Callithrix jacchus: one gene and its partners. The protein of the gene in region 3 interacts with the protein of the main gene of each other region in a pairwise test. Links are inferred from orthologs where the notes say so. Each region holds a gene or a part of one and is shown on either strand. Other genes may lie near its edges.

The links.
Region 1: the proteins of ARRDC1 (region 3) and WWP2 interact in binary tests that used the Homo sapiens proteins (3 or more experiments, as listed by UniProt). The link is inferred for Callithrix jacchus from reciprocal best matches to the Homo sapiens genes ARRDC1 and WWP2.
Region 2: the proteins of ARRDC1 (region 3) and WWP1 interact in binary tests that used the Homo sapiens proteins (3 or more experiments, as listed by UniProt). The link is inferred for Callithrix jacchus from reciprocal best matches to the Homo sapiens genes ARRDC1 and WWP1.
Region 4: the proteins of ARRDC1 (region 3) and ITCH interact in binary tests that used the Homo sapiens proteins (3 or more experiments, as listed by UniProt). The link is inferred for Callithrix jacchus from reciprocal best matches to the Homo sapiens genes ARRDC1 and ITCH.

The regions. Positions count from the first base shown.
Region 1 is NC_133521.1:27,374,961-27,381,082, forward strand, and holds part of WWP2 (NEDD4-like E3 ubiquitin-protein ligase WWP2), read left to right. Parts: intron 1-3,618; coding exon 3,619-3,766; intron 3,767-4,107; coding exon 4,108-4,229; intron 4,230-6,122. UniProt on the Homo sapiens protein: E3 ubiquitin-protein ligase which accepts ubiquitin from an E2 ubiquitin-conjugating enzyme in the form of a thioester and then directly transfers the ubiquitin to targeted substrates.
Region 2 is NC_133517.1:40,635,063-40,641,184, reverse strand, and holds part of WWP1 (NEDD4-like E3 ubiquitin-protein ligase WWP1), read left to right. Parts: intron 1-1,435; coding exon 1,436-1,569; intron 1,570-1,658; coding exon 1,659-1,799; intron 1,800-3,991; exon of another isoform or gene 3,992-5,701; coding exon 5,702-5,822; intron 5,823-6,122. UniProt on the Homo sapiens protein: E3 ubiquitin-protein ligase which accepts ubiquitin from an E2 ubiquitin-conjugating enzyme in the form of a thioester and then directly transfers the ubiquitin to targeted substrates.
Region 3 is NC_133502.1:185,955,304-185,962,145, forward strand, and holds the start of ARRDC1 (arrestin domain-containing protein 1), read left to right. Parts: upstream 1-3,259; 5' UTR 3,260-3,288; coding exon 3,289-3,406; intron 3,407-6,842. UniProt on the Homo sapiens protein: Functions as an adapter recruiting ubiquitin-protein ligases to their specific substrates. Through an ubiquitination-dependent mechanism plays for instance a role in the incorporation of SLC11A2 into extracellular vesicles.
Region 4 is NC_133506.1:4,853,580-4,859,701, forward strand, and holds part of ITCH (E3 ubiquitin-protein ligase Itchy homolog), read right to left. Parts: intron 4,020-6,122; coding exon 3,862-4,019; intron 2,521-3,861; coding exon 2,325-2,520; intron 521-2,324; coding exon 425-520; intron 1-424. UniProt on the Homo sapiens protein: Acts as an Acts as an E3 ubiquitin-protein ligase which accepts ubiquitin from an E2 ubiquitin-conjugating enzyme in the form of a thioester and then directly transfers the ubiquitin to targeted substrates.

The sequences.
Region 1 (6,122 bases), on a different chromosome or scaffold from region 3:
GGTGGCTCACGCCTCTAATCCCAGCACGTTGGGAGGCTGAGGTGGGTGGATCATCTGAGGTCAGGAGTTCGAGACCAGCCTGACTAGTATGGTGGAACCCCATCTTTAAAAAAAAAAAGTAAATAAAAAAAAAGAATACTAAATGCCACATACACGATCCTAGTTGGGGACCCACACCAGAACAAATCTTTGTTTCTTTCCTTCTTTCTTGCTCCTTTGCTCTCTTGCTTTTTTTTTTTTTTTGCTATGATGGGCATTGATAGGACAATTGGCAAAGCGTGAATAAAGTCTGTAGATTAGATCTTAGTATTATAAAACATTAAATGTCCTGATTTTGATCATTGTGCTATTGGTTATGTTAGAAAATGTGTTTGTTGGGAAATATACCCAGAAGTGTTTAGGAGTAAAGGGGCACAACGTCTACAGCTTACTCTCAGAGTTTCAGGAAAAAATGTGCATGTGTATGAGCACAGAGACTCCTTAACTTACAGTGGGGTTACATCTTGAAAAATCCATCCTAAGTTGAAAATATTGCAAGTTGAGAATGCATCTGACACTCCTAACCTGCCGAGTGTCATAGCCCAGCCTAGCCTACCCTAAATGTGCTAAGGATACCTGAATTAGCCGAGGACACTTCCATAACCTGCAGCTAGGTGAGATGATCTGGAAAAGCAGGATATGGCCGAGTATCAGTTGTTTGCCCCATGATCACGTGGCTGACTGGGGCTTGGGCTCACTGCCTCTACCCAGAGTACTGCATGTGACTATTCGGCAAAAAGACCAAAATCCAAAATTTAAAGTGCGGTTTTTTACTGAATGCATATCCTTTCCCACCATTGTAAAGTCAAACGCCCTAAGTCGTGCACCATTTGTAGTCTCCATTTTTTAAAGGCATGTAGATCCATGCTCTTACCACCAGGTGGCCTCAGTTAACCTTGGTCCGTGCGTTAATCACTGCGCCTCATTTTTCTACCCTGGGCCATGCCTCAGTATCACAAAATTTTATTCCTAGTACTGTCCCCTTGTCGCTTCTGAATCTTAGCCACAGCTGATTTTTAAAAATCTCTTGACTTCCTCCCTTCTGTTCCTTTGGGGCCTGGAGAAGACAGTTACTGCTATAAAAAATCTGAAGGTGAATTTGGCCTTTGCTGAGTTGTAGACACCACTGTAGGACTGTCACCTTTGCGAAGAGTCTGGAAGGGAGAGATTTGCTTATACTCAAACAGGGAAGCTCAGGCTAGCATAGTCTTGCCATCATGGGCAAGGGAGCATCAGTTGTATCTCTGATTTGGGGCAGGATGGGAGATGTCTAGATGTGTTTCACCCTGGCGACCTGGTGTTTCCACCTTGGGTGATGTACACTAGGATGCCTATCTAGCTCCTCATCATGATGCTTGCTAAGCTCTGTGCTCCGTGAGTCAGTCTTTGGTTTGCTGGTCCCAAATGAGTATCAGAATTGTTGCCACATGAGGGCTATGAGCAGAAGTAGAAACATAGATGGCTAACGACACATGGAAAAAATATTCAACCTCAGCGGCCCACCTCGGCCCTCCAAAGTGCTGGGATTACAGGCGTGAGCCACCATGCCCAGCCAATTTGTAACTTTTAATGGAAATAAAGATAATCTTCTTAATATTTCACATTAGATAAATTAAATCTAATATTCCACAGAGCAACAATAGAACAAATAAGTAAAGTTCAATAATGATATGCAGCATGGTGTGGAATCAGGCTGGCTAGGTGCACAGTCTGGCTTGTGGCTCCCTGGCTATATAGCCTGGGGCAATGACCTCGCCTCTCAAGCCTGTTTTCTTCTGGGTAAGATGGGGTGATAATGTATTCCCTGCCTCATGGGTTTGTTGTGAGAATTCAGTTAGAAAATGTATGCACATGGCAGAGTGTCTTTAGTAAGTACTCATAAAATCTTAAATATTATTTTTATTGCAATTAAAATTTATAAATTGGCCATGCATGGTAGCTCACGCCTGTAATCTCAGCACTTTGAGAGGCTGAGGCAGGTGGATCACCTGAGGTCAGGAGTTTGAGACCAGCCTGGCCAACATGGTAAAACCCCGTCTCTACTAAAAATATAAAAATTAGCCGGGTGTGGTGGCATGCACCTGTAATCCCGGCCCGAAGGCTGAGGCAGGAGAATCACTTGAACCCAGGAGCGGGAGGCTGCAGTGAGCCAAGATCGCGCCATTATACTCCAGCCTTGGCAATGAGAGCGAAACTCTGTCTTACATATATATAATATTTATTTATTTATTAGATACGGGGTCTTGCTATGTTCCCAGGCTGTTCTTAAAACTCTTGAACTCCTGGGTTGAAGGAGTCCTCCTGCCTTGGCCTCCCAAAATGCTGGGATTCCAGGCATGAGTTACCATGCCCAGCCTTAGCTATTATCTCACTATGTGTTTTGTTTTGTTTGTTTGCTTTTTTTTTTTTTGAAGACGGAGTCTCACTCTGTCGCCTAAGCTGGAGTGCAGTGCCATGAGCTCGGCTCACTGCAACCTTAGCCTGCCAGATTCAAGTGATTCTCCTGTCTCAGTCTCCCGAGTAGCTGGAACTACAGGTGCCCATGCCCATCTAATTTTTTGTATTTTAGTAGACATGAGGTTTCACCATTGCTCAGGCAATCTGCCAGCCTTGGCCTCCCAAAGTGCTAGGATTACAGGCATGAGCCACCGCCCCTGGCCTACACTATGTGTTTTTAACTCATGTGATTTGTAAAAGTGAAAAAGTGTAGCCCTCTGGTAAATTGAATATACTCTGGTGTAGCCCTGATGGTGGGGGCTCCATGGGTTTACCTTTCTTGGAAAGGAATGGGCAGTTTTAAGAACTTTAAAAAATGTTCATGTCGGCTGGGCGCGGTGGCTCACGCCTATAATCCCAGCACTTTGGGAGGCTGAGGCGGGTGGATCATGAGGTCAAGAGATCGAGACCATCCTGATCAACAAGGAGAAACTCTGTCTCTACTAAAAATACAAAAATTAGCTGGGCATGGTGGTGCACGCCTGTAGTCTCAGCTACTCGGGAGGCTGAGGCAGGAGAATTGCTTGAGCCCAGGAGGCAGAGATCGCGCCATTGCACTCTACCCTGGGTAACAAGATCGAAACTCCGTCTCAAAAAAAAAAAAAAAAAATTAAAAATGTTCATGTCCTTTGGAGGAATACTCAAGAAAGGCATGCGGATGTATACTTTCACAATAATTTCCCCAGAGTGAATAATTGCAAGAAGTCTATTCAAAAGTGAAAGAATATGGGCTTGTATTATAGTCGTTTAAGATTGACTTATGGGGGTGAAGAACTTTTAAACAATTGAAGAAATAAAAGATGAAAATCTAGAAGGCAATTTCCCAATGATAAATTGGTAATGATGGTCACCGGCGGTTATCCCAGTGGTTTCAGGTTAGGGATGATTTTTTTTCTTATATTTCATATTGTTTTGTGTGTGTGTACTCACCTTTCTTTAAAAAGTTTTTAAAATCAAGACAAAACAAAAGTTACTGATTTATTTTTTTAAAGAAACAATGAAAAAGAGCTGGAACATCTGCCACAGGGGGGCATCTGGGAGCCCTGGGACTCATCTTCGACTTTTTCGTTCTTTCTCACCCAGTGGTGTCTGCAAAGCCCAAGGTGCATAATCGTCAACCTCGAATTAACTCCTACGTGGAGGTGGCAGTGGATGGACTCCCTAGCGAGACCAAGAAGACTGGGAAGCGCATTGGGAGCTCTGAGCTGCTCTGGAATGAGATCATCATTTTGTAAGCAAAAGCTTCTTTTTGCGGGCAGTAAGATGGGGGAAAGAGAGAGGGTGCTCCGAGGGGGTTGTGGGAGGTACAGATTCCCTGCGGTACCTCTGACTTTTTCTGCCTGTGGTACCCAAGATGCCTCTCTTTAGGTGTTCCTACACCATTGAGCTCATAGAGCGTTCATTATTAGCTAGAGGGTTACAGGGTCAGCTTTGAGGGGGGCAGGGATATATGTGGGTATCTGTCTGTTTTGATTCCCCCTCCCCAAGATGTCAGCAGTTTAGTTTAACTGTTTTCTTCTAAGTTATAGGAATGATTGCTTGGATGTAGTGAATCAGGTATCTGTTTCCCAGGAATGTCACGGCCCAGAGTCATTTGGATTTAAAGGTCTGGAGCTGCCATACCTTGAGAAATGAACTGCTAGGCACCGCGTCTGTCAACCTCTCCAATGTCTTGAAGAACAATGGGGGCAAAAGTATGTATGATGAATGGGATGCCGACGTGATTCATTGGTGGGGATGGGAGGACCTGGCAGATGAACCTGATGCTGGAGATTTCCCCAGGACTAGGGGCTGTGGTACCTCTGTTCTCCTTGGATGCCGTCTTTGGAGTTTTAGGAAGGCTGAGGACTCCTCTCTACCTCCTTGCAGAGTTTAGCTCTCTTTGCCCAGGTCCTCTATTAGTGGGATGCAGTGGTGTGTTACCCTTGATCCTTCCTTAGGGACTGGAAACTTTCTGCTCCTCTTCCCAATGCGGGAGATGTGTAATATGTTGAATGAAACTGTCAAATGCCTCTAACCTAAATCATTGCTTTTCTAGCCTGAACCCTAAAACAGAACAAAGGAGCTGTGTGCATGTGTGTGTATGTGCATGTGTGTGTGTGTGTGTGCACGTGTGTGTCTGTTTGGGACAGTGTTACAAGTAGTGCCCTGTGCTTACTCGGCATTCAGTAAACATTTACTGGACGTTGGAATGTGATGGAAACGCCGTCTGAATTAGCCAGCATGCCTGTACATCATGGACGTATAAATCCTCATCTATTTATTGCTGTTTGTGGTCAGTGGCATGGCCCATGGCTGTGGTTTTGGACCCTCCTTCATAAAGACTCTATTCAGAGCGGTACCATATGTGGCGAATGAATGGCATGGAAAGAAAGGCTCCTTTTTCTCTCGATGTCTACAAAGTATTTTCTGAAAGTGGATGTAGCTTAAGAGAGTGGCGGGGGTGGGGAGCGTTGAGTCCCAGTGAGCGTGTTGCATTGATTTAAGAGTCTTTCTTTTCTTTCCAAGCCTGTCCTTTTAAGCGATGGGCCACTTGAAAGGTCTTTGAGCCTCCTCTAGTCTTTTCCTTTCTGCTGGGTACATAGAGATGTGCTGAACCCACTTTGGCCTGAGGAATTGTTGAAGACCAGAGATGCGCCTCCTTTTAATCCTGCAGAGAACTCCCTGATTGCTTTGTCTTCTGAGTTGGTGTTTATTTTCCTGAACACTAGCCAGCCTTTTGTAATTTGATCATAAGGGAAAATTCTATTTATTGCGATACTTGGGAAATATACTTGAGGATAGCCTCACATTAGGATGCAGCAACCAGCATGAGCGTCCTTTTTTCTTCTTCATTTGCCCAGCCAGTATACTTTTGCTTTTGACTAGCAAAAGTTATTATAGAGACTGTAAACTATGGAAAAGCACAGATACACAAATAAAACAAAATAAAATAAAATTTCCCTGTAGAGCACGGCACCCAGTGATAGTTGTTTTTTCTTTCCCTTTTTTTTTTTGATGGAGTCTTACTCTGTTGCCCATGCTGGAGTGCAGTGGCATGATCTTGGCTCACTGCAACCTCCACCTCCCAGGTTCAAGTGATCCTCCTGCCTCAGCCTCCCAAGTAGCTGGGATTACACATACATGCCACCACACCCAGCTAATTTTGTAGTTTTAGTAGAGGTGAGGTTTCACCATGTTGGCCAGACTGCTCTCGAACTCCTGACCTCAGGTGATCCACCTGCCTCGACTTCCCAAAGTGCTGGGATTGCAGGTGTGAGCCACTGCACCTGGCCTGATAGTTATTGTTAATGTTTTTTTAAAAGCAATTTTACTACTGGGCAGGGTGGCTCACGCCTGTAATCCCAATACTTTGGGAGGCTGAGGTAGTGGATCACCTGAGGTTAGGATTTTGTGACCAGCCTGGCCAACGTAGCGAAACCCCATCTCTACTAAAAAAAATACAAAAATTAGCTGGGGATGGTGGTGGGTGCCTCTAATCCAAGCTACTCAGGTGGCTGAGACAGGAGAATCACTTGAACCCAGGAGGTGGAGATTGCAGTAAGCCGAGATCGTGCCGTTGCATTCTAGCCTTGTGACAGAGCAAG
Region 2 (6,122 bases), on a different chromosome or scaffold from region 3:
CTTTAGTTTAATTACGTCCTACTTATCAATTTTTGTTTTTGTCGCAGTTGCTTTTCAGGACTTAGCCAGAAATTTTTTTGCCGAGGATAATATCAAGAGGACATTTCCTAGGTTTTATTCTAGGATTTTAATAGTTTTAGTTCTTACATTTAAGTATTTAATCCATCTTGAGTTAATTTTTGTGTATGATAAGAGGTAGCACTCTAGTTTCATTCTTCTGTATATGGGTAGCCAGCTAGGGGATCACATTTGGAGGAGACAAACATCTAAACTATACTACCAAGTTAGAGGATAAAGAATTTAATAAAGTCAGAATATAAGGAATATGAGAGCAATGAGCTTGAGTTGGAGAGAGGAAGAAATTTATTTAGCACACGTACCAAGTAATAGAAAGATTACCCATAATAAGATTATATGGATTCAGATGCTAGTAGTGAGCAGATATAGTAGAATATACAAAAGTTCTCTTCTGGTTGTTTCTGTTTCCCTCAGTGAAATAGAAAGTAAGGTCATCAACTCAGAATGAGTGGGGAGAAGTAAATATTTGAGGAAAGAGGAGTAGGAATGACATAGTCATCTAGGAAAGTAGGAGACTGAATGCAGTAGGGAAATGTGATTACCAGGAAATAGACCAGTAAGGAAATATGACTGTTGTTCATGGAGCAGTCATCTTGATTGTTTATGCATTTCTAGCATGTTCCATTGCCTAGATACAGGCATTTAGTAACTTGAGAGTTGAACTTAGCTAGGCTTGGGATTTTGCTAGAAATACACTGGTGGAGGTAGGGTTTGAAGGGAATTATTTTTAATGATTGACTGTGGAATCTAAACTGAGTAAGGGGAGATATAACTTCATGAGGGGGCTAAGGTATAGTGTTAATAGCTTCAGTGGATGTTTTAGTTTTCCAAAGTTGCTAGGAGTCTGGGGCTTCCCATGCTGGTTATTGTGAATAGGAGTGAAGGCACAATGGGGTTAGTCCTAAAAACCTCACAGGCAATGGTGAGAATAAGAAAGGAACAGGAGAGTGGCCTTTTCAGGTGCACAGGGCCCTTCTGCACTCCTTATCCAATTAGGTTAATTTAATTTATAAAGCATTTGGGAAGATTGAGGCAGGGTATGGTAATTAATAGAAGTCCTTTATCACCCTATACAGTTTTTGATATATATATTATAGCTATGTGTGTAGTAATAGAAGTCCTTTATCACCCTATACAATTTTTGATATATATTATATAGCTATGTGTTATAAAATAGATTTTGTTTTAGCTTTTTCATACCTAGCATTTTATATATTTTAATTTTCATATTTTATGTCATTCACTTATTCAAATCTTCATTTACTTGTAAAGTGTCATGATTTTTCTGTTATCATTGTTTTCTAAGAAATTGTTATTTTGCAAATTTTATTATAAAATGCTTTATTTTTCTTTGCAGGCATTATTTCATGGAAAGTTTATCGATACTGGTTTCTCTTTACCATTCTACAAGCGTATGTTAAGTAAAAAACTTACTATTAAGGATTTGGAATCTATTGATACTGAATTTTATAACTCCCTTATCTGGATAAGGTTTGAAGATTTTTGTTTTGCAATAAGCCATTTTTTTTGAAACCCATTTTGTTTCATTTTGTTAATTATTGTATATATATTTCACTCAGAGATAACAACATTGAAGAATGTGGCTTAGAAATGTACTTTTCTGTTGACATGGAGATTTTGGGAAAAGTTACTTCACATGACCTGAAGTTAGGAGGTTCCAATATTCTGGTGACTGAGGAGAACAAAGATGAATATATTGGGTAAGGTGATATACCATATTAAGCTTAATTTCTAGAACATGTCAGAACTAAATCCTCTGTCTGTAGCCTTAATTGCATTCCCTTTTCACACTTTTGGGAAGTTCTTCTCACCAGTACCAATGTTCTTAAAAAAAAGAGAATCTATGTTGACCCTCATTTTCCCACTGCCATTTGCTGTGACCATTCTACCATTTCCTTTTCCATATCATTTCCCCTTTTTTAACTTAGGCTTTTAAATAGTGTTCACTACAGCCTCTTTCTTGAAACTCTCTGTTTTCTTGAATTCCGTGGATCCTATGTCATACTGATTTTCTTTACTTTCTTGTTTTTTTTTTTTTTAATTTTGTTTTTAGAGAGGGTTTCACTCTGTCACTCAGGGTGGAATGGTGGCGTGATCATAGCTTACTGCAGGCTTGACATCCTGGGCTCAAGCAATCCTCCTGCCTTAGTCTCCTAAGTATAGGCTTATACTACCATGTCCAGCTAATTTCAAATAATTTTTTTTTGGTAAAGACAGGGTCTCATTGTATTGCCTAGACTGGTCTCAAACTCTTGGCCTCAAGTCATCCTCCTCCTTCAGCCTCCCAAAGTGTTGGGATTACAGGCATGAGCCACCACTTCTGGTCACTTGCTCTTTTTTAATGGCAGTTTTCTAAATCTCCTATTTCTTAAATATAGACCTTTTTCCAAGATGTTATTGCAATCTGCTTCTCTAAATAATTTGCTAACATAGCATCAATTTTCTGTTAAAGTTATATCTAAACTTTAGAAATAATTTCCATTTGCCAGCCAGGTAAATCCAAAGATTTTCAGGAAAGAACCAGGCAGTAAACTTTTTAGACTTATTTCAACTACTCAGCTCTGTGGTATAGTGCAAAAGTAGCCATAGGTAGTGTATAAACAGATGTGTGATTGTCTTCCAGTAAAACATTTATAGACACTGAAATTTCATTTTATATAATTTTCATATCCTAAAATACTTTTAATATTTTTTTAAAAATGCAAAGGCTATTCTTAGCTCACATGCTAGACAAAAAAAAAAAGATGATTAGGCCCACAGGCCATAATGTGCCAACACCTGAACTACAGATGACTCTTAAATGTAATGTGTCTAAAATCCAACTTTTCATTTCTCCTAGCTGTTGCCTCTTACTGATTTCTTCTATAAATAGACTACCATTTTCACCCTCTTAGATTCTAGCTGTCATCTGTCTCTTTCAGATTCTTTGTTTTTTATATTTGTTTTGAAAAATGGATTGGATTATACACATTACTCTGTAGCTTACTTTTTTTCGTCTTAAGGACAGTACAGTTAAATCTAACTTATTTTCTAACAGCTAGGTAAATTGTGGTGTATGTATTCTATACTTTTCAGCTATTCCTGCCAATAGAGATCATTTAGGTTGTGTCCAGTTTGGGCCACTGCAAACAAGACAGCAGAAAACTTCCTTAAGCATGAATCCATACATCCTGCTAGTTAGTTTTGTGGGCTAGATTTTTAAGAAGTGAAGTTACTGGATCAGAATGCTATGTGGCTTTATAAAATGTCATAGCCATTCTTTTTTCCCTTCTTAACTTGTAAATTGCTATGACCTTTCAAATTTACATCCTTAGTGTATCTGCTTACTAAGTTTAATGTACCCTTCTTAGCTTGGCATTCTCAGCCTCTTCTTTTTTCTGCTAAACCAGAAAAAAGTGAGAGAAATTACCAATAACTGATTTCTTCTTTTATACCTTTGTACTCTGTTAGGTATTTTTATTTTGTTTTGTTCTCCAATGTGCATTTATTATGCTAACTGGAAAAAAACAGGAACACTATATTTTGAGGAAAATATATTCACAAAGATGATACATAAAGCACTGGACTTTCTATATTTGTTAAACCTGAGACTTCCACAAAGTCGAACAAAAATAAATAACACAACCTGAGCAGTTAAAAAAATGCTATCAGGGCTTTCAAATATCAAAAGTGCTCTAAATAAAATTTTACCATGTAAGATTTATATTTACTTTCTGTTAAGCACTGTTTCAAGATATTTTATCACTTTAATACTATTGATAGCTAATCATGAATGCAGTAGTTTTTGGAAGATTTTGTTTCAGTCTCAATAACAGACTTCAGTTTCTTTAATCTTGCTCTTGAAAATTATGTGATAACACTCTAGTTGTGATTTTTTTTTTTTTTTTTTTAGTGCACAAGATAGGCCATCAGTGAATCTATAAGTAAATGAATGGTAGAAATGGATATGAAGTACTACTGGAATCCAAAGTGGGAAGAGAACTATTATTTCTGCTGGGAGGAATCAGGAAAGTTCTTCATCGGACACTGTGTATTAAGTTAGGTCTTAAAAGATGCATGGGAGGCTGTTGGCTCCTGCCTGTAATCCCAGGACTTTGGGAGGCTGAAGTGGGTAGATCACTTGAGCCCAGGAGTTCAAGACCAGCCTAAGAAACATGGCAAAACCTCATCTCTACAAAAAATAAAAATAAATTAGCTGGGCATGGTGGCGTGCACTTATAGTCCAGCCACTAGGGAGGCTGAGGTGAGAGGATCACCTGAGCCCACAGAGGTCAAGGATGCAGTGAAACCAGGCAAGAGTGAGACCCTATGTTAAAAAAAAAAAAGAAGATACATGAAAGTTTGCCTTCTAGAGGGAGATGTTTTTGGGACAGGGAAAACAGGAAGAGCAGAATTGATGTTTTAAGGGGATTCGTTGATGGTGAGAATTAGTGGCTATAATGGAGCCTACAGTGATAGCCAGGTTTAAAATTACCTTGGTTTAAAATTTGGTTGAATAGAGGTGAGAAAGTGAAAACACTGAGTATGTTGTACTCTTATAATGAGTGTGGTGGTAAAGAGAGGAGAGAGTAATTTTAAAAAGACACTGGGTTAAAGGGTTTTGGGAAAAGAATAGTCTGAATACCTATGTGGACAAATGGGAAGAAAAGTTGGAGTTGAGGATATGGGACAAAGAGGGTTTAGTAATTGAAGAAAAGTTTTGGAGGCAGCCTTAGAAAAGCATAAGGCCAGCTTCCTCTAGGAAACAAAAAGAGTTGGAAATGGGAGGAGTGTGAATAGCTTGGCTTTTTTTTCATCTGCTATAATCTGTGTATGAAGTGGTGTATGTTGCTTCTCTAGGAAGACCTTTCCAGATCCATCTCCTTTTGGAATCCCCTTTTACAGACTTTGTGTCATACAGATTTTCTTCCTTATTTCCTTTCTATCATACTTCCCTGCTCTTACAGCTGCTTTATATATGTCTCTTTAGAATGTTTTGTTTCCATCTTAATTGAGTTCTTCTGTTCTAGTTAGGAAATCTTCATATTCTCCAAAAAACCATAAACAGGTAAAGAACCTGTTCTCCAGCCTTAAGTCCTCAGACCGTAAACCTACACCAGCACATGGCTTGTTGACATATGGTCATTGCATAGTGAGATAATCCCTTGCCTCCCTTGAGTCAGAGTCCTCAGGTCTGTCATGGCAATGCTTGTTGTAAGATGAGCCTATTAAATGACTAGCTATTCCCTTCCCAAGTGAGCACATGATATTTGTACTTATTTGTCTCGATATAAACAGAAAATAATTAGTGCTAGGATTTGGCTGTCTTACTAGTGAAAAACTTCCTATTTATTTTCTTTTTTCTGTTTTTTTTTTCCCTGACCTTTTTATTTTAAAAGCATCCTTTTTAATAGCTACCTATGTGCTAGAACTGATTTCCTCAAATGTGTTAACTCTAAAATTATATACATGCATACACAAACACCTCACATTTACATATGTGTGTTGTGCATATATATGTGACATTTAGAAAAAGAGAAAGAGCTATAGAAGTTCTTGGTGTTTTTCAGTATTTTACTTCACATATAAATTACCTATTTTTAAATACCATCTTTATTTTCAGTTTAATGACAGAATGGCGTTTTTCTCGAGGAGTACAAGAACAGACCAAAGCTTTCCTTGATGGTTTTAATGAAGTTGTTCCTCTTCAGTGGCTACAGTACTTCGATGAAAAAGAATTAGAGGTTAGGCTCTTTTATTATGCTATTGTAGGGAATGTTAGTGGGGGGAGGGACTAATTTTGTGCTTTTACAGAACAGTGTTCACACATTTTAAAATCCAGCACAATCTTGAATCCTCTCATTTGTCCGGATGTCAAGGTGGTGTTTATTGTAGCACTGGGTAAGAGTCTTGATTATGTTCTCTGAAGCATATGCCATGAACACAAAATCAATCCGTGTAAGTGGTTAGGGGTCTTGAAGAGTTATTGGAACATTACTGATAATTCTGATTTTCAGTTTAGTAGTGAGTTGCTTCAAAGATCA
Region 3 (6,842 bases):
ACCTCGTGATCCACCCACCTCAGCCTCCCAAAGTGCTGGGATTATAGGCGTGAGCCACCGCGCCTGGCCTCAAGCTATCTAATCTGAAACTTGCTCAGACTTACTTACCCTGCCTTGTCCATTTTCACCCTGAGGAAAACACAAAAAAGGCTCTGGGCCATGCTCTCTCTTGGCTCCTCAGGACCCGGGTTCTTCCCCTTCTGGCCGTGCGTGGTGTAGCGTGGCCCCTCCTGCTGGGAACTACAAGTATTAAATCCTTCCTTTGTGGCGCATGTCTACCAGTCTGTCTCTTTACATACCTGATTCAAACAGAGTCCAGTAAATGTTAGGATATAGAGTATATCCTGGTTCTCCCCCTTCTGGCCCTGAAGGGAGGTGGATTGCCTGTGTGGGTTCTGAGCACTGAGAGTTCCCACACTCGGAGGTGGAGAGCATGGCTGTGAGTTTGGAGCTAAAATCACCAAGAAATGAGGAGGCCGACCAGAGCGAGAGAAGGTGCTGCTGGTTCTGAGACCGGGAGACTTGCATACAGTAGCTCCCAGGGTGGAGAATGGCCTGGGAGTGTTAGGAAGGACCCAGGGGGCTCCCACCCCACCTACAGACCCAGAGGCAGAGGACCTTGGGAAAAGAAACCTCCACACCTGAAAGCTCCAGGGGAAGCCAGTTTTTCATTAGAGTGCGGTGGAAAGAATGCTCAAAGAGTCTAATGACAGGGTGGTTGGTGCTGGTGCTGGTTTCTGGGATACAGGATGGGTGACAGATGGGGCCATAATCAAGGATGTGCAGAGCCCTGTGGGGCTTAGATTGTGGCTGACCTGGGATAAAGGTCACCTGTGTTCTGTCTGTTTTCTTCCATCTCAGTAGCTTGCAACACAATCCCTCTCTCCCTGCTTGAAACATGTTTAAAAAAATTTTATTTATTTATTTATTTATTTATTTTTGAGACAGAGTCTTGCACTGTCACCTGGGCTGGAGTACAATGGCACGATCTCAGCTCACCGCAGCCTCCACCTCCTGGGTACAAACAGTTCTCCTGCCTCAGCCTCCCAAGTAGCTGGGATTACAGGCATGCATCACCATGCCCAGCTCATTTTGTATTTTTAGTAGAGACTGGGTTTCTTCATGTTGGCCAGGCCAGTCTCCAACTCCCGACCTCAGGTGATCCGCCCACTTTGGCCTCCCAAAGTGCTGGGATTATAGGTGTGAGCCACCACTCCTGGCTTTTTTATTTTTAGTTTTTTGAGACAGAGGCTTGCACTGTGGTGCAGGCTAAAGTGCAATGGTGTGGTCTTGGCTCACTGAAACGCTGCCTGCTGGCTTCATGAAACTCTCCTGCCTCAGCCTCTCGAGTAGCTGGGATTACAGGCACACGCCACTACACCTGCTTAATTTTTTGTATTTTTAGTAGAGATTGGGTTTCACAATGTTGGCCAGACTGAGCTTGAACTCCTGACCTTATGATCAGCCCACCTCGGCCTCCCAAAGTGCTGGGATTACAGTCGTGAGCCACAGCACCCGGCCAACACTTTCTTTCTGACTTCTGGCATGGCTGACTGCCATTCCGGGGGGGTTGTCCATAATCCTTGCCATTCAACTGCACTCTTCTCTCTTGTTCGGGAATTCTGCCTGTGTATAGTCTTGTCAGGAAAGTGTCTGGATCATGGCCAGTCAGACTCACCTCCTGAAACATCAGAATCCCAAGGGAGCCAGCTGGGACTGGGGCTTCAGAGTCTCTTCCATCCAGGCCCGGGCAGGTGGGGGGGAGCTCCTACAGCCTGTGAGCCACTCTCCTTTTGCTGGGGTGCCAAACTCCTCCTCCTTGACCTGTTACCTTCTACCAACCAGAGATGGCAACGTTTTAGTGCTTGGCTCCTAGGCTCATTCACGGAAGTAGCTGGTCCACTTGGGGATCAGTGGCACCTCAGACTCTGCATGTGATGACTCTCCCACCTGCAAACCGCGTGTGTCTAGGCCCGTCCTCCCCATCAGAGAAGGCCACCCTCTTCGCCTGCTGTCCTAGAAAAACTCGCAGCAGTGGGGCCCGCCTCACCCACTCCATGGTGAACTGGTCCCAGGCAAAGGCCGCCTTCTCTCTCTGGGACTATCCAATGGGACTCTCCCCACTTAGGTCCCCAGGGTATTTGAGTCCCACCCCCGGCGGCTCAGTCTTTACAAAGGGACCTTTAAAAAAGATAAATCGGAGTGTGTTCCTCCGGGTCTCAAGTAATCCAAGTCCCCGCCCCACCTGGCCCCTGACCCCTCTGCTGCGGACCCCCGCCCCGTCCAAGTGTGGCTCCTTTGGGCCCTGCAACCCATCAGGCCAACGGGGGGGCGGGGCAGGTACGGGGAAGACCGCGGTGGGGGGAAGCCCGGGTGGGGGAGAGGCGCCGAACAGGTGTCGGAGGGCGGTGCCGGGGACGGGGCAGGTGCTGGGACGCGGGGTAGGTGCGGGGAAGGCGGGGGGTGCAGGGCAGGAGCCGGGGGTGGGGGTCGAGGCCGGGCAGGTGGTAGGCGGCGGAGCCCTCCGGCCCAGGACGCCGGCGCGGCCCCGAGACGTTTTTCCGCGACCTGGGTTGATGAAGAATGCATGAAGGGGCGGGCAGAGGGTGGGGGCGGAGACCGTGGGTTTTCTGCGGGGAGCCCTCCTCAGTCCCAGAGCTCGCCTCGGCCCGCCCCCTCCCCGCCCCTTCCCCGTCCCCCGCCCCGCCCCCTGACAGAGGCGCGGCGATGACTCCCTCAGTGGGGCACGCAGGGGTCGCTTGCGCCGCAAGTCCCTTAAGTGGCGCCCGACGCAGCGTGGCCACTACCCAGGGGGGCGCGGGCCCGGGCCTGGGCCTGGGATGGATGAGGGCTGCCGGGGTGGGGTGGGGCATGGCGGGGGCAGGGCCACGCGGAGGAATGGGGCGGGGAATAGGGGCGGGGCCGGACCTCCGAGCCGCAGCCCGCGTGCGAGGGGGCGGCCGGGGGTGGGCGGGGACGCGCCAGGTTGGGCGGGGCCGGTAGGGACTGGATGGGGCGGGGAATAGGGGGCGGGGCCGGACCAGGTTGGGCGGGACCGGGAGGGCCTGGATGGAGCGGGACATAGGGGGGCGGGACCGGACCAGGTTGGGCGGGACCGGGAGGGCCTGGATGGAGCGGGACATAGCGGGGCGGGGCCGGGCCGGGTTGGGCGGGGCCGGGAGGGCCTGGATGGGGCGGGGCATAAGGGGGGCGGGGCCGGGCCTCCGAGCCCTGTCCGCTGGCCGCCGGCGGGGGCGTCACTGCGCGGCGGGCCGGCGAGGCCGCGGCATGGGGCGAGTGCAGCTGTTCGAGATCAGCCTGAGCCACGGCCGCGTCGTCTACAGCCCCGGGGAGCCTCTGGCCGGGACCGTGCGCGTACGCCTGGGGGCGCCGCTGCCGTTCCGAGGTGGGCGCGGGTCCTCGGGGAGGGCCGTTGGCCGCACCTGCGCGGGGCCGGGGCTCCCGGAAGCGGCTGCCGTCGCGGGGCCGGGGGTTGGGTCCGCGGAGTCGCTGTCGCCGCCGCCCGGGACTGCTGGGGCGCGGGCTTGGCGGCGCCGGGGAGGTGTGGGCGGCGCCGCCCTTCCGCGTCTGCTCTTCCTGCCTTCTCGCCGAGGGGCAGCGGGGTTCCGGCGGGGCCTGAGGCCAGGGCCTGAAGCGGGTCCGCTGTGAAGCCGCCCTGAGCGGGGCGCACGCAGGCCTGGGACCCTCCCGGTCCGCGCTCGCACCTGCTGGGCACCTTCCCGCACCCGGGCTCCCTTAGCCCGCGCGCCCGTTGCAGAGCGGTTCCTGGCCCGGGCGTGCGGTCCCGGCAGGGCACAGACACCTGCTGCGGCTCCCCGCGCCCCGGTCCCCCTCTCGCAGGCCTCGGGGCCGGCCCCCTGCCGAGGCGGACTCCCGGACTGGGGATCGGGTTGCTGCAGTGGCCGCTGGCAGCGCGCCCTGGAGGTGAGGCAGGCCCGCGAGGTGAGGCTGCTTTCCCAGCACGGGGCCTCCGCGCAGGCCTCTGCCTGGTCCCTGGCTGTGAGCGCCGCGTCCTTGCCGGGGGCTTCTGTACCTCGGCCTCCTGTGGGACCCACCTGGGCTGCTTGGTCTAAGCCGCTGCCCCTGCGCTTCCCGCTGGACCTTGACCGCTGGGCCTCCGCGTGGGTGACAGCACCGCTGTGCCTGCCGAGGACCCACAGCCTTCGTTCCGTCCTCAGCCGCCTGCGACAGGTGGTGGTGCTGTGGCCCTGCCCTCGCCCCTGCCCCGCCTGAGGCTGTGGATCCCGGGAAGAAGCCAGGTGGTAGGCGCTTCTGTCAGGCTCCTGGGCCTGTTGGGCTTCCTGGGTTGACCCCATGGCCTCCGTTTCTCTGTTCGCACCTTGCGTTTGGGGTCTGGGGGGTGCAGGTGTGGCTGTGGCAGGGCAGAGATAGCACACGTATCCCTTGGGTACAGGTGAGGTGTGAGGTGAGGTGGGTTGGATCCTAGCTGAGGGGAGCACCCTGCCCTGCCGTCCCTCCCCTGGGGCGAGAAGGCTATTGCTGACCACAGGGAAAGGATGGCCTTGTGGTGCGTGACTGGCCTGAGTGGGCAGGCTCCCCTGGGCTGCATGGGTGGATGCATGGACGTGGTGCACGCCTGTAATGCCAGCACTTTGGGCAGATGGCCCAGAAGCTGAGGGAGCCCTGGCTGATGGTCCCACCTCACAGAGGATGGTCTGAGTGAGGGAGAAAAAGGAGGGTCATCAGCGAGGGAGTAGAAGGGCCCTGATGGGCCAGAGAGCTGATGATTCAGGCTGCTGGAAGTGTGGTGGAGGGCTGTGCCCAGGCCCCTCGGGAATTTTCCCCGGCCCTGCCGGGGATGGGAACAGAATGACCCTGGTTTCTTTTCCTCATTCAAAGGATGTTTTTTTCTGTCCTGCTAGGAGCCAGTAGGGAGGCCCTCCACCCCCAGGAGGACAGCAGGCTTGCCTGGCCCCAGGGCTTGCTCACTGATTCTGTCTGATGAGTGTTGGTGACAATCAGCACCCAGACATGGACACAGGCTGCCTTCAGGGCTGATGCAGAGGGAGGCCTGGGAAGGAGCAGTTTTCTGTATCCCAGGCTGGCCCATTCCAGGGTTGGGGGTCAGACAGGACCACCCCATGTTCTGCTGTTACTGGGATGGGTGACCAGGGCTGACAGTGGCTCTTGGAGTGCTCATGTGTGGGCCCGATGCAATTCTCTGGGTCCCACGGGCCAGCCTCACTCACCCTCAGCACCCTGGAAAGTGGTACGGTTATTACTCTCATGATACAGATTTGGAAACAGGAGAGGGGAATGGCTCACAGGTCACAGCTTCCGTGGCAGGGGTGAGGCCTGTGAGATGAGGATGAGGATGAGGAGTGGGTGGCTCTTCATGGTCCAAGTGCAGGTGGTACAAGGGAAGGGCTGCTGAACAGCTAGGGGCCTCAGCTCGAGAAGAAAGTTCCAGTGGTTACTTGAGAACACGGCCCAATCTTGATCTTCCTTAGAATCAAAGCAGCCTGCAGCCTCCAACAGCTTGTCGTTGGTTGTGCATCTGAACACAGGAAACCTTTTTTTTTTTTTTAAGAGACGGAGTCTCACTTTGTCGCCCAGCCTGGAGTGCAGTGGCGTGATCTTGGCTCACTGCAACCTCCACCTCCCAGGTTTTAGCAATTCTGTCTCAGCCTCCTGAGTAGTTGGGACTACACATATGCCTGCTATACCTGGCTAATTTTTTGTATTTTAGTAGAGATGGGGTTTCACCGTGTTGCCCAGGCTGGTCTCAAACTCCTGAGCTCAGGCAAATCTACCCTCCTCAGTCCCCCCAAAGTGCTAGGTGTGACTCACCACACCCAGCCAGGAAACTTTTTGTTTGAGACAGTCTCACTTGGTCACCCAGGCTGGACTGTAGTGGCACCATCTCAGCGTACTGCCACCTCTGCCTCCTGGGTTCAAGCGATTCTCCTGCCTCAGCCTCTTGAGTAGCTGGGATTACAGGTGCACGCCACCATGTGTAGCTAATTTTTGTATTTTTAGTAGAGATGGGGTTTCACCATGTTGGTCAGGCTGGTCTTGAACTCCTGACCTCTCGATCTGCCTGCCTTGGCCTCCCAAAGTGCTGGGATTACAGGCTTGAGCCGCCGCGCCCAGCTGGAAACATTTTTTGAACCTGTATGAGGGAGGAGGGATGGGGCTCCAGGGCCCCTGCAAAGAGGTACAACCTTCAAGTCCAGAAGGCGGAAGAAGTCACACTGACTAGGTGACTGCCGCTGAGCCACTCAGTCCTGCAGCCAAGCCCTGCCCGGAGGCTTTCCTGTTTCGAAAGGCTAGGTTCCCTTCAGCCTGTGCTACCATCACAAGCAGTCTGCAAGCTGGAAAGAAGAGGGAGTGGGGACACATGCCTCTCCAGCAGCAAGGAGACCCCTCACAATGGACCCCATGCACTGCTCTCACTTCTCTGTGGGCAGAACTGCATCTTATGGTCCTGCCTGATTTGACCATTTAAAAGAGAGAAACATGGCTGCTGCCATTGGTTTGGCCGGTGACAATGGGCTTCCTGGGGAATTCACCCAGCCCGAGCTGAAGTAGCTGCTGAGAGGCGGAGGAGCAGCTCCAGGTGTTTTGGCAAGGAAGCAGCTGGCAGCTGTGTGGGAGTCCCGTGCCTCCCCTGTTCTTACTGAGGAGAGCATGGGCAGCTTAGGACAGGTTTCACTTTGGACAGTGGTTGGAGGCTGCTCACTCTGGCAGAGTCATCCAAAAGAGCCTTGGGGTATGTGCAAAACCGGGTTCTCTGCATGGGTGTTGGGAAGATCGCAGAGCCTGGCCATGTAGGATGACCCAAGGGTCAGTTGGATACT
Region 4 (6,122 bases), on a different chromosome or scaffold from region 3:
CAGTATTAGTAAACAGGTACACAGTTTAGACAAGAAAAGTTAAACAAGACTAGGGAATCTTTAGGTCACAAATGAGTGAAAATAGGGCCAGGGACGCTGGCTCACGCCTGTAATCCCAGCACTTTGGGAGGTCAAGATGGGAGGATAGCTTGAGCTCAGGAGTTCAAAACCAGCCTAGGCGACATAAGCGAGACCTTGTTTCTATAAAATAAAGAAAGAAAGATGAGTGAAAATAAAAATCATTTATCAGGCTTTGAATTAATCAGTTCTCTAGCTCTCCTTTCTGTTTATACTTACCACAAAACAAAGTGGACAGAGAAAAGGTTGAAAGGAAAAAGTAAAACAAAAATGTAGGGAAGACTATACAGATGTAATCCACAATTCTGACTAAATAAAATTACTATTTTTAAATTCAGATACTTACCCAGGAGGTAGAGGTTCTGGTCTATCCCATGTTGTTCTTTTCTCAACATGATCTACATAGTAAACTCGTCCATGCTGGTCCACTCTCTGCTCCCAACTTAAACACAAAATTAAAAGGCTCATAGGACACTTGCATGAGTTACTTGGCTTTTAAATCCTGTCTCTGCCTTTTTCCCTTAAATGACCTGAACTAAGGCAAATAAGGTTGTCAGTTTAGAAAGATGATACAAATACAATTTAGGAATAAAGGGAAGAAATGTAAACATCAGAGGGTGGCACACAATGAATTCAATTTCTTCTATGCAAGTATCTGCTCTAGGAGAAAACATGTTTCTAAAGAGGCTTAAGGTCGGTCTACATAGTAAACCAAAATCACTCTCAATCAGAGTACAGTCAGGATTTGACTGGAAAGGAACGGCCAGGCGCAATGGCTCATGCTTGTAATCCCAGCACTTTGGGAGACCAAGGCAGGCACATCACTTGTCAGGAGTTCAAGACAAGCCTGGCAAACATGGTGAAACCCCATCTCTATCAAAGATACAAAAATTAGCTGGATATGGTGGCAAGCACCTGTAGTCCCAGCTACTTAGGAGGCTGAGGCAGGAGAATCACTGTAACCTGGGAGGCAGAGGTTGCAGTGAGCCAAGATTGCACCATTGCACTCTAGCCTGGACAATAGGGCAAGAATCCATCTCAAAAAAAAAAGAAAAATTAGCCAGGTATAGGTGGCAGGTGCCTGTAATCCCAGCAAATCTGGATGGTGAGGCAGGAGAATCACTTGAACCTGAGAGGTGGAGGTTGGAGTGAGCCAAGATCCCACCATTGTGCTCCAGATTGGGCGACAGAGCAAGACTCCATTTCAAACAAACAAACAAAAAAAGCAAAATAAAAAACAAAAAACTACACTTGAATATCTTAAAAATAATCTTAAAATAATCAGTAGAGATTAAAATGGGATTGATTATGAGCAGAAATTTTCTCAGTTTTCTGAATTATCTATCATTTTGCGATAATGATTTACTCTGTTACAAAGGCTAAAGTGCAATTGCGTGATCTCAGCTCACTGCAACCTCCACCTCCCAGGTTCAAGTAATTCTCCTGAGTAGCTGGGACTACAGGTGCCCACCACCATGCCCAGCTAATTAGAGTACTTTGAGTAAAGATGGGGTTTCACCATGTTGGCCAGGCTGGTCTCAAACTCCTGACCTCAGGTGATCCACCTGCCTCAGCCTCCCGAAGTGCTGAGATTACAGGCATAAGCCACCATGCCCAGCCTATAATGATTTTATGATGAAAACAAAATTTGATTTTAAAAAGGGATTTTCCCCTTCAAAGAAAAAGCAACTAGAATTAGGTGATTATTTTATTAATTGGCCTTGGTTAACATTCAGGGTCCTTTGGTGAAAAAATATATTTTTCCACTTTGCCCCGAAAACAAAAGACAGGGTTTCAAATATGGTGTATTTTCCTTGTTCATTTTGACTCCAGATTCCCCCAAATCAGTTATAACATAAAAACAGTTGGTTGGGTGCAGTGGGTCATGCCTGTAATCTCAGCAATTTTGGAGGTTACGGTAGGAGGATCACTTGAGGTCAGGAGTTTGAGACCAGCCTGGTCAACATGGTAAAACCCCATCTCAACTAAAAATACAAACATTAGCCAGGCATGATAGCCCACGCCTATAATCCCAGCTATTAGAGAGGCTGAGGCAGGGGAACTGCTTGAACCCAGGGGTCGGGGGTTGCGGTGAGCCAAGGTCTCACTGCTGCACTCCAGCCTGGGAAACAGAGCAAGACTCCATCTCAGTTACTGAAACAATGGAGTTTACTATTATTTTCCTTGTTAGTAAGTATATGAAGTAGCCAAAAGCCTAAAGACAATGTATGTTTAAAGTTACTCACCCGGGTGGCAAGGGAGCTTGAGTTACAGGATTTAATGGCCTAGGGCCTGAGCCTCCAGATATAGTAAGGGGAATTATTAATCCAGATGTTGCTCCTTCAGATGTATTTGTATTTGTATTTGTATTTGTCATTGGCAGAGAACCTGTACTAGACCCATCACTTTCAGAAGTGGTAGATGGTGAACCATTGACAGATGCTATAAAAGATTTGAAGAAAATAGGAAAAGAACCTTTTATTTTCTAAAATTCAGGATAGAATTTTAACTGTAAAAAATAAAAAGGCAGATGATAAATATAAAACTTAAGATTTGGATACACAGGTGAAAATTACTTAAAGAAATAATAAGAAATAATCAATACTCCCTCTTAATAGGCTTGTTTACTTCTTCGGCCCTGTCTACCCCTACATCCCATTATTAATTACAAGGCATGTGAATATTATCTGAGGAGATAAAAATGTATAGAAAAGCATTAATATTCCTTGGTATTTTAAGTTCATTTATTAATTTTCCAGCTCCTTAAAACTGCTTTCCTATGAATCCCTGCAGATTACAGACCAATTTTTGATGTTGGTTATAATGTGGAAGGTCTGACTGATAAACAATAATCTTCTTACAAATAGTTACTAGTCATGTATTACATCTTTAAGAAATACTTGTGAAAACAATGTCTATAGGAAGTCACCAATATTATAACTAAGACATCTTAAAGATTCAGAACATACTGTTAACCAAATTACCTATAAAAGGGGAAGAGGAGGCTGGGCTCAGTGGCTTATGCCTGTAATTCCAGTACTTTGGGGCTAGGCATGGTGGCTCATGCCTCTAATCCCAGCACTTTGGGAGCCCAAGGTGGGCAGATCACCTAAGGTCAGAAGTTTGAGACCAGCCTGACCAACATGGAGAAACCCCGTTTCTACTAAAAATACAAAATCAGCCAGGTGTGGCAATGGGTGCCTGTAATCCCAGCTACTCGGGAACCTGAGGCAGGAGAATTGCTTGAACCTAGGAGACGGAGGTTGCGTAAGCTGACACTGTGCCACTGCATTCCAGCCTGGGTGACAGAGTGAAACTGACTCAAAAATCAATCAAACAAACAAAAAAGGCTTGTTTGTTGTGTCATTTTTTATTTAAAATCTGAATCATTTAGCACTGTTGGGTTATTTGTCATTTACTAACTTTTTAAAGAATATACTCGGATTAAGCAACCAAATCCTTGACTACTTACTTAATATGTTTATGTTACAGTTACAAACCATGTAAGAAATGCTATTGCAATGTTATCTGTATTGCCTATATTTTATATTATGCACATGTCATTTTCATTCTCAATAGAGCACTGCCTCAGTAATGTCACTCTGACCCGAAACTTAGGAAAAAGGCACTTTTGGTTACTACAGAAAGATCATTCTTTGCCAAAATCTTAAATGCAAAAACACACACAGAAAACTCACCGAAAAGAATTTCCTGAAACTTACCTGAGGATTAACTGCCAACCAGAACATTATTTATTAGAGTACTGACAGCTGGAATACAAACCTGGTCTACGTGGGGTAGGTGGTGGTGGTCGTGAAGGTCTTGGAGGTCTAGAAGGTTTAAAACCGCCATTTGAGAGTGATGGAGAACTATTCCCATTGGCTCTCCTATTTTCACCAGATCCTCCATCTTCAGGGTCATCTGATCCATTTGTGCTCACTCTGGGTAAGAAGACGGGAAAAGGAAGGGGGAGAGAAAAATAATAAATACCCTTTGAATTTAAGAAAAAAACAGCAAGAGAATGAAAACTTCTAAGATTTTAGGAGCTTAAAAAAAGCTTTTTAAATTTTGGTCAGCCTTATTAAATACATAAAGAGCCTCTGGGTAGAATCCTACACAACCCCCAAAGTTCATCTAGAGATAGAGTGAAGGGTTGTCCAAGGGCATAGAAACACTTGCAGCCGTTCAGAACTATTAGATATGCTGGTTCGTATTTCAAATAAGCCTTCAGGAAGCCCTACATAAACAGGAATAAAGTCAAGTTCTCAAAATCCTTAAAAAGGGCACTACTTTATCACAAGCGCAGATAACTTTACCATTGTTGTTTTTTGGTTTCTATTGGCTATTTATTAATACTCAAGTTTGAGGCAGGGCTGATTTTCCCATGCTAGAACAAAGTGCATGTATTTCCCAGGGACTAGGCCCTGACATCCCCACTCAGTACAATGGTACACAAAATGTTCAAAGCTAGTGATATAGAGTAGAAGTAACCACAGACCATTTTTTTAAGGAGCTGTCATTTATTCAAAGCAATAACATCAACTGAAGGGACAGAAAGGAAGGAAGAACACTAACAGGAAATATCGGACTGAAAGCTACTGCTACTGTTGGCTAAATATAGTTGATTCTTTTTCCTCCCAGAGGGGTTCTAGTCATGGATTAGAAACAAGGACATAAGTAGCCAGTCTGCAGATGTCTCAGCCAAGGTTCTTGTATGTACTACCTCCAAACCACTACACAGTACTAATCCATACTACTAGGAATTTCAGAATAAGCCTGAACAAAATAAAACCTAATAGATTCAACTAACAGAGGCTGAGTGCTGTAGCTCACACTTGCAAGTGCAGCACTTTGGGAGAATGAGGTGGGAAGATCACTTAAGCAAAGGAGTGAGAGAAAAATAATAAATGCCCTTTGAATTTAAGAAAAAAAACAGCACGAGGATGAAAACTTCTAAGATTTTAGGAGCTTAAAAAAAGCTTTTTAATTTTTGGTCAGCCTTATTAAATACATAAAGAGCCTTTGGATAGAATCCTATGTAACCCCTGAAGTTCATCGAGAGATTGATTGAAGGGTTGTCCAAGGGCAATGATTTATTTTTAATAAAAACTGTATAGATGATATTTTGATATACATAGTGAAAAAACTTACTACAGTCAAACTAATTAACATCTCTCTCTCCTCACATAGTCATCTTTTTTTTAGACAGAGTCTCACTCCATTGCCCAGGATGGAGTGCAGTGGTATGATCTCAGCTCACTGCAACCTCTGCCTCCCAGGTTCTAGCAGTTCTCATGCCTCAGCCTCCTGAGTAGGTAGGACTACAAGCACCCATCAACGTGGCCAGCTAATTCTTTTGTAGATTTTGTAGAGATGGGTTTTCACCATGTTGCCCAGGCTGGTCTTGAACTCCTGACCTCAAGAAATCCACCCTTCTCAGCCTCCCAAAGTGCTGCGATTATAGGCATAAGCCACTGTGCCCATCCTCGTAGTTTAAGACATTTTCGAACTATGTACCACAGAAATCCTTTAGGGCCCTTCTATTCCAAGTGTGGTCTTTAAACCAAAAGGACAAGCACTATCGAGGAGCTTGTCAGAAATGCACACTCTTCAGAAGTATTCTGGACCTACTATATCAGAGCTAGCATTTTAATAAGATCCCCAGATTATATATATGGACAGTAAGGTATGACAAGCACTGCTTTGAGGGTTCCCTAAATGCTTGTCTTTAATAGATGGAACACCTCAGTAATTGACAGTCAGTACCTGATTAGTGTTGACTACCTGCAGAATATGGTCTGAAAAGAGTCAGTTTTGACACTGCTTCCCTTCCTTTAAGTAAGGTTTCCAAACCACTTTAAGACTGCATATTGCCTCTCCATGCTATTTTAAGAGGTTCCTAATTAGTTTGAAAGAAGAGTTCTTGCTGCTTTTTAAGTAACAGATGACAACTAGAATAAACCAAAAATGGGAAAATAAGGTTTCTAGCTCTGACTCTGCTACTGTTGAGTTATGTGACCAATGAATGTCCCCTAAAATGTATT